Schizosaccharomyces pombe: one gene and its partners. Changing the gene in region 1 together with any one later gene gives a genetic interaction. Each region holds a gene or a part of one and is shown on either strand. Other genes may lie near its edges.

Evidence for each region.
Region 2: of nse6 (region 1) and dmc1, a mutation in one rescues a mutant of the other (synthetic rescue), as found in Schizosaccharomyces pombe (2 studies listed by BioGRID, with this or other methods).
Region 3: mutations in nse6 (region 1) and rad26 impair growth when combined (synthetic growth defect), as found in Schizosaccharomyces pombe (2 studies listed by BioGRID, with this or other methods).

Annotation. Positions count from the first base shown.
Region 1 is NC_003424.3:5,296,130-5,299,887, reverse strand, and holds the start of nse6 (Smc5-6 complex non-SMC subunit Nse6), read left to right. Parts: upstream 1-2,107; 5' UTR 2,108-2,154; coding exon 2,155-3,723; 3' UTR 3,724-3,758. Other genes in the region: protein tyrosine phosphatase Pyp3, read right to left, coding at 34-657, 763-1,050. UniProt on the Schizosaccharomyces pombe protein: Acts in a DNA repair pathway for removal of UV-induced DNA damage that is distinct from classical nucleotide excision repair and in repair of ionizing radiation damage.
Region 2 is NC_003424.3:3,380,110-3,383,867, forward strand, and holds dmc1 (RecA family ATPase Dmc1), read left to right. Parts: upstream 1-2,154; 5' UTR 2,155-2,222; coding exon 2,223-2,295; exon of another isoform or gene 2,296-2,369; coding exon 2,370-3,295; downstream 3,296-3,758. Other genes in the region: SPOM_SPAC8E11.04C (palmitoyl-(protein) hydrolase), read left to right, coding at 647-719, 791-875, 987-1,034, 1,090-1,235, 1,350-1,672.
Region 3 is NC_003424.3:4,448,848-4,452,605, forward strand, and holds the start of rad26 (ATR checkpoint kinase regulatory subunit Rad26), read left to right. Parts: upstream 1-1,757; 5' UTR 1,758-1,998; intron 1,999-2,078; 5' UTR 2,079-2,267; coding exon 2,268-3,017; exon of another isoform or gene 3,018-3,072; coding exon 3,073-3,738; intron 3,739-3,758. Other genes in the region: GTPase Ypt2, read right to left, coding at 68-670.

The DNA of each region.
Region 1 (3,758 bases):
CGAATCGACTATCAGCAAACTCTAAACCAAAGGCTATAACTGAGGAAGAAGAAATTCCTTCCCTTGAAGCAGCTCTTGAGATACTGTATAAAGAAAAACAAGCTGATCGACCGATTGAACAGATTGCATTCTTTGTGACCGAAGACTGGAAACTATATTTGCGATATTATCCACCTCAAATTTCGAAGTTGAAGTAGAGTCATCTGTTTGAGATAAAATCTCAAATAACGCCATGAAAGTTCCCGTTCTGCCACAACCCGCTGAACAATGGACTATAATGGGTGCTGTTTCAAAGTCCGGAGAATATGAGAGACTTTTTATATAGCGAGTCAGTGATAGTAGTGAGAAGGTATGTGGTGCACCAAAGTCAGGCCAACCGTTATAGTAAAAATGCAAAATTTTTTTCTTGACCCCGTCCTTGTTCAGCTCAAATTCACGAACTTGAACTTCATTTAATGATGTCAAAGTATAAACTTTTACCAAAATAACGCTTAAATCACCGATATTAAGTGTCTCAAACAGTTCCACTGGCCAATAGATATCACATTTCAGACGATGGCGTTCCCTCAATTTGGTAAGCATAACGATGATGCCTGATTTTGGCACAGATTGCCAGACCATCTTCCAAAAAACATCAATACTGTTCGACGTTGGACCCTATATAAATAAAGAAGACTAAGTTAGTAATTATGTTACAAAAAATGATGAAAAGAAAAAAGGCCAAAGCCGTTTACAATCCCGCAATTTCTTTTTATTCCTAACCTGAGTAGCGATAAATGTTTTCCCAGAAGGGATTTTTACTATGGAAGCATTAATGTAATCACATGCTTCTTTCCACATTGGATCTAAACGAACACGAGTATTTTCATAAGGGACTATGTTGGAGTATCGGTTTCTAGCCAGCGCTTTCTTACTTAGCTTTGGCAACCTAGTATTTAACAGCTCTATCTCTTCCTCATTGAGTCCCTCAATAATCATGTACGCTTTTTCTTTTATTGTGATCAAGGGTGTTAGAACACCATTTTCTGTAGATACTTCTTTAAAAGACATATTGATTTTTTGCGTTTATTCGCTTTTAAACTTCTCACCGAAGTATTTTTTTGTGTCTATCAAAAAGAAAGAATAATTTCTACTAAACGACTTTAAATGATTCCTAAAACCATGACAGAAGTCAGTAAAAAAGAGAAGTATAATTGTTTAATAAATCATCATTGTACGGCCCCCACATAGCGCTAGTTTCTAGTTGTAGTCGTAATCTAGTTCACGTTCACATTCACTTCGTAGGACTAGGCCCAGAGTATTTGCGAATGTCTATGTGGGGGTAACTCGAACCTTTACGAAGCCGGTAGTATGAAGAACAAGCTATATGTGGGATACTTTTATAGGTTGTAAACAACTGTATTGATGATAGTGAATAAAATGATTTAAACGCACTTATGTTCTCTCCAAGGACTTAATCGATCTGCTATACTTTTACTTTCAAAAACAAAAATATTTAAAGTGTAGAGAAAAGTTTTGACGTTTCTTATATAAGGCCAAGTATTATAATACTTGCTCAGCAATTGTTTCATTAAATGCCTGTTTGAATGTCGCCATTGTTCTTTAGGAGTTGTGTTTGACTCGTTTGACTCCCTTACTTGGCTTCTTTGGTTTTAATGTAATTTGTAAAGATTTCTTTGAATGAAAACGTGCCTAAATTGGTTTTAGGTGTTCTTTCTTCTAAGGTTTCCAATAACTTTAACTCAGAATTAGTAAAAATCATTAATTGTTAACAAAAGCTTATGACAGGTTTTTTCTATTCTTTTTTTTTGAATGTTCGCTTAAGAAAAGTCATATGTAAACATCAACGAAGCCAGCTTGGATATGTTTATGATTTCTCCGGTAATAGCAGTTGAAATGCTATAAACTAACAAATTATTCATTTAATAAGAAAATCAATAATTTACTCGATGTTTAATATTATTTGCTTGGAATGCTCAAATTGGATGAAATGAGACTATAAACAACAAAAAAACAATCGTCGTCAAACTATAATGCTATATAATTAAATTATAAACGTTTACTTTCCACTATTTACTATTTCATAATTTTTGTTATATATCCATCCACCCTTTTACCAAAGCACATCAAAAGTGTCTTTGCTGGTATAGTTCTATGAATGCGTCTAATAACATTTCAAAATTTCCTGATTTAGATAATTCTTCAAAATTAATTGACCACATACTTGATAGTGATGATTCTGAAGAGTTGGACGAGCTTCCTGATATCTCTTCTTTGGTGCCTTCGGCAAGAGCCCAATCGCGAAAACAGTATTTGAAAAATGATTCTTCTAATTCATCTACATACAGATGGAATATTGATCTTCTTTCTAGTACTGCTACAATTGACGATTCGGTTGCAAAAAGAAGAAAATTAGCAGTACAAAATTTATTGCAATATGACAGCACTCAAACCTTTCAAACGGGAGATGAAATTGATGAATTAATAGGAAAAAGTGTTGGATCAAATGTTTTGAATGTTCTACGTTCTAACCCTATTTATGATGACGACCTTAGGTACGAATATTGTAGCAATTCAAAAGCTCGTGTTCCAGACTGGAACACCCTGAAAGCAGAATGCTTGAAAGATAACGATTTGGAGTTTAATGAAGGAATTATACCAACAACTTTTGGTGATTTATTATCGGCAAAATTGGTCCCCTTAGATATTGCATTGTCAATATGCAGCTTGCAATTTTTCCGCTCTTTAGGAGACACAACATGCTCTGAATGGATTGCTAACCTAGAAAAGATTTTTTATAGCTATAAAAGCAGCTCTAATAATCTCAACCAAATTGTACGATTTATTTTTGAGACTACTGCAGATATGATTGGCATTGATTTAGCGAAACGACAGGTACCAATCCAGTTGGAACGTACGTCAGCCTCAGAAAATTTAAAAAGCAATTTGAAAATTAAGGTAATTAATTTCCTAAAATGCTGTGGAACTTTGTATCGGTTCTCCGACGACACTGTTCGCTTTGAAATGATTCAGGATGCATGTCGAATCTTAATTGACAATCAAGTGGGCTCATTTTGTAAATGGCAATTTTCTCAATTCATGGAACTTCCAATATCATTGAATCCAGATTTTTTGATCAGTAATATTCATAAGGTGTCTGAAAGTCCTAGAGTTTGGGTTACAATACTATCTTCTTTGTCTCGTTCCTGCCAAAAATTCAGAAAGAAGATTGCTTTTACATTATTTGTTGGGAAACAAAGTAAAAATGATGATTCAGACTTTTCTTCTTTATGTCAACGACTAGATGAAATTTCCGCTTCCTGTAATAATGACTATACAACTTTATTGTACCAGATTCGTACCTTCGGATATGCGGTGGATGAAAAGCATTTTAAAACTAATGAGCGCTTAGAGTGCTTACTGGAAAAATTACGAAAAATAGATTTAACAATATCTGGTTCAACAGACCATTTGCTACTATCGAGATGTGAAGTTAAAGATTGCATACATAGACTTTTTATGGTGCTTTACTATTTAAATACAAACTCAGCACCAGAATTGGAGAGGATTATTGAAAGTGACTTGCCCAATAATAATAAACAAAAGGACAGGTATTTCAAGGATAAAACTTCTAACTTATCGATGAAAGAAAACAAAAGCTTTTCAGCTAAAAAGGTGAAGAAGGGAAAAAAGAAAAATAAACGGCAAGCGTACAAAAGATAAACAATCAGTGTATTTATTAATATTAATTTCAGTGC
Region 2 (3,758 bases), 1.9 Mb from region 1:
TAAATTCACCAGCCATTATTTTGACAAATGCATTAAACTATTTAAGTATAGCGATTGCTTTTATAAAAGGATTTTGGTGCAGTACTAGGAATATGAATACGCGATTGATATTGAGTAATGTTCTGGCACAAGCGTTTTCAGCTGACAGATTTAAGCAGTCTGTTTTATAACTATTCTCAAGTAATACTTTCCCATTGAAAATAAAAAGTTATTTTTGTAATGTGGTTGGATTGTATAGTACGACTCTGCGGTTGAAGAAATGCAGAAAGCATCTTTGGCTAGCAATATAAATAACAAAAAAAAAAAAAAATTAGTCAAGCTAATTTTGTGTTTTATAAACAAAAAAAAAAAACCTTTGGAACAAAATTCTTAGTATACAAATTGCGATAACGTATTGTAATAGCCAGCACTCAATTTGGATTCTTAGTTTCAAGATATACATATATCGCTTGGATTAACGCTAACACCATTTTTTACGATTATTTTTCGCCTGCAAAAGAAAAAATCATAAGGGAAATATTATATATTTACACCATACCTTCGCTTTTGATTCAATTAGCTTTGATACAAATACCTGTCTTATAAAACTGGTGTTTGCCCTATTGCAACACCTCCATTCCCTTAGTACTTTTTAAAACGTTTCATTATGACTGCCAAACTCAATTCAGTAATAATTAATCCCAGCGTGGCGCATACGGCCACTGTGATTTTCCTTCATGGTATGAACGATGATAATGTTGAGACAAACATATCGTATATTTTCTTCATAATAGTAACACATTTATCTTAGGTTTAGGAGATAGTGGACAAGGATGGTCTTTTATGGCAAATACGTGGTCGAATTTTAAGCATATTAAGTGGATCTTTCCCAATGCGTAAGTAAAAGAATGTATTTAATCATGCAATTGTCTAAAGTAATGTGTGATGAATGAATGAGAATTCGCATTACATACTTTGTATTTTGATGCTAATTATTTTGTATATAGTCCATCTATCCCTGTTACCGTCAACAATGGCATGAAAATGCCAGCATGGTAAGTAATTGTTCTGCTTGATGATAAAGTACAATGTTCGCTAAAACTTTTTTAGGTATGATATCTACAGTTTTGCGGATATGAAGAGGGAGGACGAGAATGGGATACTACGTTCAGCAGGCCAATTGCATGAATTGATTGATGCAGAACTTGCTTTGGGGATTCCTAGTGATCGCATATTAATTGGCGGATTTTCACAAGGTATGAGCTGCCATGAAAGCGGTTAACTCGCTAGTCATTGCATTTTCAAAAAAAAAGTGAAATGGTTTTCACTTTTCAAAAGTATATTGCTTACTAACTCGTCATTTTCTCTAGGTTGTATGGTTTCCCTTTACGCTGGACTTACCTATCCCAAACGTTTAGCAGGAATTATGGGGCATTCAGGGTTCTTACCTTTGGCTTCAAAATTTCCATCCGCTCTCTCTCGAGTTGCTAAAGAGATACCCATTCTTTTGACTTATATGACCGAAGATCCTATTGTTCCCTCTGTCTTGTCGAGTGCTTCAGCTAAATACCTCATCAACAATCTACAGTTAAAATGTCTCGATCGACCTTTTGAGGGAGACGCCCACTCTCTCTCTTCAGAATCGTTTATGGCTATGTATAAATTTACTCAGACAGTTATTGGTTCACCATAAGTATTGTGTTTTTGGTGTTGAGACTTTGCAAATGAAGGAAATTGACGAGTCTTTTGCACTTTTAGAGTTACTCATAAAATTAAATAAGATTTACCGTGATTAACTTTTCCCTTTTTTAGAAAGCAGTTTCATACTAGTAACTTAAGACTATGAATTGTCATCCCATTTGGTAGGTTCTCTCCAACAGTTTTACTCATTTATGGCATTTTAAGGATTGAAGCATTTTGTTTTGAGTATAGATACTATGGAGTTTAGTTTTCATTTTTAGTAGCAATATTTCGCGACGCGTTCATTGTTTACATGTAGCTGCATCAAGTATAATACATGATTATGAGTGCATATACTCTATAGTTGAACTTGTAAAGTAATTAAACTAAAGAAACAAATAGATCTACTGTTTTTTTGTTGTGATTTAGAGAGGTAATTTTGGGAATTTCCGCAATATATATATCGTGGATAACTACAGCAATTCTTCTTTCTACATAGTACGAACAACAACCAAAAACCGTGTAATTTGATTAATACACGTTCAATATAAAAATAAAGTGCAATGGAAGAATTCGCAGAGGGGAATGATGATGAACAAATGATATTTAGTGACATTGAAGACCTAACTGCTCACGGTAAGCTTGAATGAGTATACGGCAGTTATAAGACTCCCAGTATTTGCTTTAAATATCTACTAACATAATCAAAGGGATTGGTATGACCGATATCATAAAATTGAAGCAAGCAGGCGTTTGTACGGTGCAAGGAGTCCATATGTCCACAAAGAGATTTCTCCTTAAAATCAAAGGTTTCAGCGAAGCCAAAGTGGATAAACTGAAGGAAGCGGCATCAAAAATGTGCCCAGCAAACTTTTCCACTGCGATGGAAATCAGTCAAAATCGTAAAAAAGTATGGAGTATTTCGACAGGATCCGAGGCACTCAATGGCATCCTTGGAGGGGGAATTCAGTCGATGAGTATTACAGAAGTATTTGGAGAGTTTCGTTGTGGTAAAACACAAATGTCGCATACATTGTGTGTCACTGCCCAGCTTCCTCGAGATATGGGCGGGGCCGAAGGAAAAGTAGCATTCATAGATACAGAAGGAACATTTCGACCTGATCGAATCAAAGCCATTGCAGAACGATTTGGTGTAGACGCCGATCAGGCTATGGAGAATATCATTGTCAGTAGAGCATACAACTCTGAGCAACAAATGGAATACATCACAAAATTAGGAACCATTTTTGCTGAAGATGGCCAATACCGTTTGTTAATTGTCGATTCCATCATGGCACTATTTCGGGTTGACTATTCGGGTCGCGGGGAATTATCAGAAAGGCAACAAAAATTAAACATTATGCTTGCTAGATTAAATCATATTTCTGAAGAGTTTAACGTAGCGGTCTTTGTCACAAATCAGGTTCAAGCAGACCCCGGAGCAGCAATGATGTTTGCGTCCAACGATCGAAAACCTGTAGGAGGCCATGTCATGGCTCACGCAAGCGCGACCCGTCTGCTGTTAAGAAAAGGTCGAGGTGAGGAACGTGTCGCAAAATTGAATGATTCTCCAGATATGCCTGAAGCCGAGTGCAGTTATGTGATTACACCTGGTGGCATAGCAGACGTTTCCTAATTGATTTTCTACCTATTCCAAAAAAAAAACAAAAAAAGAAGAGAAATAAGAAAAAAGATCAGCCAAGTTCAGCAATGCCTTTTATCATTGCGTTTGTGCTTATGTTTTAACAAAATTGAGTGCACTGATTACGTTAATGTTAACATTTTACTGCTGCAATACTATATCTTTAATACAATAATCAGTTCACTATTGGTCTCTAAAATGGCTTTAAAGAAAAAGTTTGGATGAGAAGCTCGCGCCATTTTAGATAACCAAACCAAGATTTTCTTAACTACACATTTATCAAATAGTTGCGAATGGCGCAAACCCCCAAAAGCAACTTATTCTTACGAGTCAACAAATTTGTTTAAGTAGTGTCATGTGAAGTTGCTATCGCATGTATCAATTAACAAAAGCTGAGCGCCTTTCATTGCAATCGTTGGACAATCTGACTTCCACCAAACAATTATATCGTGTGAGA
Region 3 (3,758 bases), 850 kb from region 1:
ACGTATCGGCGGTGCTAATATCAAAAACTAGCGAAAAAGAAAATGTGACAAGATAATAATAAGGAGCCTAACAACACCTCTTCACCGTACGATCGTTTCCGAGGTCAACGTTATTTGCCTGGTTGGAAAATTCGTTTTCTGCATCAATCTTTTGTTTTTTTATTTCCCGGGCAAGGGTAAAAAATGCCTCATCTACATTGACGTTCGTCTTCGCACTAGCTTCTAAAAATTTAACGCCCAGCTCATCGGCTAACGCTTGTCCCTGTTCAAAGGAGACCTGACGCTGATCCTCACAATCACATTTATTTCCAATAAGGATTTTATAAACATTTTCACTAGCATGTTGTTCAACGTTACTAAACCAAGTTCGGACGTTATCAAATGATTTTTTATCAGTTACATCGTATAACAATAAAATACCCATTGCACCACGATAATAAGCAGTGGTAATGGTACGGAAACGTTCCTGGCCAGCAGTGTCCCAAATTTGGAGTTTGATACGTTTTCCATCTAGTTCAATCGTGCGAATCTTGAAATCAATTCCAATCGTTGTGATAAAAGAAGGGGTAAACGAGTCTTCCGAAAATCTCAGAAGAAGACATGATTTTCCCACACCTGAATCTCCTATGAGAAGTAATTTGATTAAATAATCGTAGGATTTTGTAGACATGGAGGAGTGTTGCTTTTGCCAGGTGGTAAGTGGTAGAATCTACTGGAGTCCCTTGAGATAATGCCGCAAAAATACACTTAAATTTATTAATTCAAGTAATGTTATTGTATAAATGGTACTAGTTTTATTTAAGTCTTTGTTTGTGTTTTTTTATGTTGAAAAAACATGACTTTCAACTTTTTTATGTACGTTTCCTAAGGGCAATAAACTCGAAGTTTTGATAAAGGAAGTCACTATTCTAGGGCACATACATACACTCTTGAGAAAGTAACAAAGATATTCACAAGAGAAATAATTCAGATTTCATGTCAGAGAAAAATCTCTGTCACTAAACAATTTACTAGCCATGGATTAATTTATACGATTTGAATGACTGGTAATATGACTAATATAGTACTGCATTGATCAATTTAATCAATGTTTATATGACTGTCATTGACCTAAACATACTTATAATTAACGCTTTAAGTGTTTTGGTTTAGATTTTTCCTTTTTATTTTTGATAATATAGTAAATGGATGGGGGAGAAACAATGAACTTAACGTTAATTCATATGATCATCATTTTAGGCTTTGTCATTGTTGTTCGAGTTGAAACAATAAACCGTTTAAACCAGCATAAACTATAAAATGTTCTACGATTAGGAGTTGGACTGTCTGAAAATAAATAACTTTTAAATTTTTCGAGGTTATGAGTATTCAATAGAGATTGAAATTAATAATTTCTACAATAAAACAAAATAACAAATTATTTCATTTTATCCATTGATATATTTGGTTAGACTACAATTCGATCTTACTTTTTTAATAATATTTTCATTTTTTTAATTCTTTTATGTTTATTAATTCGAATAAATGATGGAAGCCATTTGTCATAACACCTTAATTTAAGTATAAAAAATATTTTTCTCATGTTTTATTTTTAAAAGCATTCAAACATCATACACTTATTTTATTTATTTTTTATTATTGACAATTCAAATACTTGATTTTTGGCTAATAGTGATTTACAGTACTTGAGGTCTTATTGTCGATTACGTAACTCGTAAAACTTCAAGTTGGCTATTCGATTGCTAACCAAAATGCACTAATACGCCAAGTTCAACAAGTAAATTAAAGATCACAAGAAATACTCATAGCAGTTAAACGTATCGTTAAAGCATCTTATATAGCTGCGCATTTTGGAAAAGACTATCTTATTTATCATATCTGTTGGTGCTCTGCAAAATCAATTCATATTGCTACAAGGGTTCAATTATTCATACAGGAAGTTACGCGATTAAGCAGCCTTAGTGACTGCAGTCATATTCTGCTATTAGTGTTTCGTTTGTATGTGGTATTCATACTAGAAAGAGATATGGTTTTTCGGCCTTATCTTCTCTGCATAATATTGCTTACTAACTGTTAAGGTTTTCCAATTGCTGAATTACGATAATTACAGTTACCAAGGTTGCTGAAAGTATTTGAAACAATTTACGATTTATTATGAATTCAATTCTTTTTTACAGAATAAGAAAAACATTGGGCCCATATTACAATTTGGAATCACTTCAAACAACTATTGTTACGCATAAACGAGAGTGAAAGCTACAAACAAAATGATGGCTGATGAAAGTTTTGACTTGGAGAGTTTGGGTTCGGATGAAATATTTGAAGGCGTGAATTTAGATGAATTAGAGCAACAAGCTCAAACCCAGGTTCAAGCTCAAAGTTCTCAAGTAGTTGTACCGAGTGAAAAGCAAAAGCAAAATTTAAATCTTCCAAATTCATACACCAATTCTTCTCAAAAAGTCCGGGAATCTACCGTAAACTCACAAGCCTCATTATCCTCTAATGACCTTCGAACAGAACTTTTAATTAAGTCGGGAGAAAATGCAATTCTTCGTGCTAACCTTCTAAAACAATCCGAAGCTAATAATGCCGCCCTAGAATCGTTAAATAATTCTATAAAGCAAAAGCAAGATGAATACCAACGGAAATTAGAGGAGCTTAAAAAAGAAATTGAATACGCAAAAACGAAATCCCTATTTCATGAGCGTGAAGCACAGGATGCTATCGAAACTATGAAAAAAATGAAAAGAGATGTAAAGAATTCTCCGATTATGAAAAAATCCCATGAAGAAGATGGTGACAATAAATTGTTATCTTCTTCTGATCAGCTTGCTAAGAGCACAAAGCATGCTGCAAAAAACAGCCCTTCTAAAAAGAAGCGCAAAACAAGTGTTGCTACTGCTGAAGATGCTTCAACGGATAGTGTGAGTTCTAGTATTGCTATATCAGATGCAAGTTTGTCTTTGAGCCTGATGAAAGATTTACTTTCTCTACAAAAAAGAGAAGATTTGTATTTTGTAAGTATTTTTAAACTGTCGTGTTAAATTTTATTCCCTTTTCTTACTTTTCTAGTCTTCTAGAACTTTAGCATACGTATTTGGTGGTTGTATGCATTCATTAGAAACAATTGAAGGAGAGGAGGAAGGTGAATGTTTGTTTAATAACTTGAAAGCTCTAATATACAGTCCCGATCTATCTATGGATTCCTCCAATTATGTACAATCTGTCGTTCAAACATCATCGTCGATTTTAAATTATTCAATGAAAAAATTATTATATAATGCCTCCTTTGCTATAACATCTTTGTTTAATGCATTATTAATTTTGGACCCTAAATCATCCACCTTTATCTTTCAGGAAAATGTCGTTTCTTTAATAAGTGGTTTTCTTCTTAAGGAATACGAAAAAAGCAATTTTTTGGACTCAAAGTTTTACGTTTTAATAGATTTTCTTTATTTATACTTATCTATAGCACGTGAAAGTGCTGATGACTTTGCAAACATTACTAAAGCGGTTGATCCGTCGTTATTCGAATCCTGCATTCGAGTGCAAAATGCTCCTTCTTTGATTAAATGTGGTGTTTGTTTAATTATTAGTTCCACCACTCCTTCGTTTTGCGCTTCAGTTAACTTGTTAAATGCCGATGATAAATCCCAAGAATCACTCATGCAACTTTTCACAACTATGGCCCATATTTTAGTTGTTACTACTAGGGAAAGGATTAATTTTCCTGAATTGGTACGTTTACGAATTGTGCT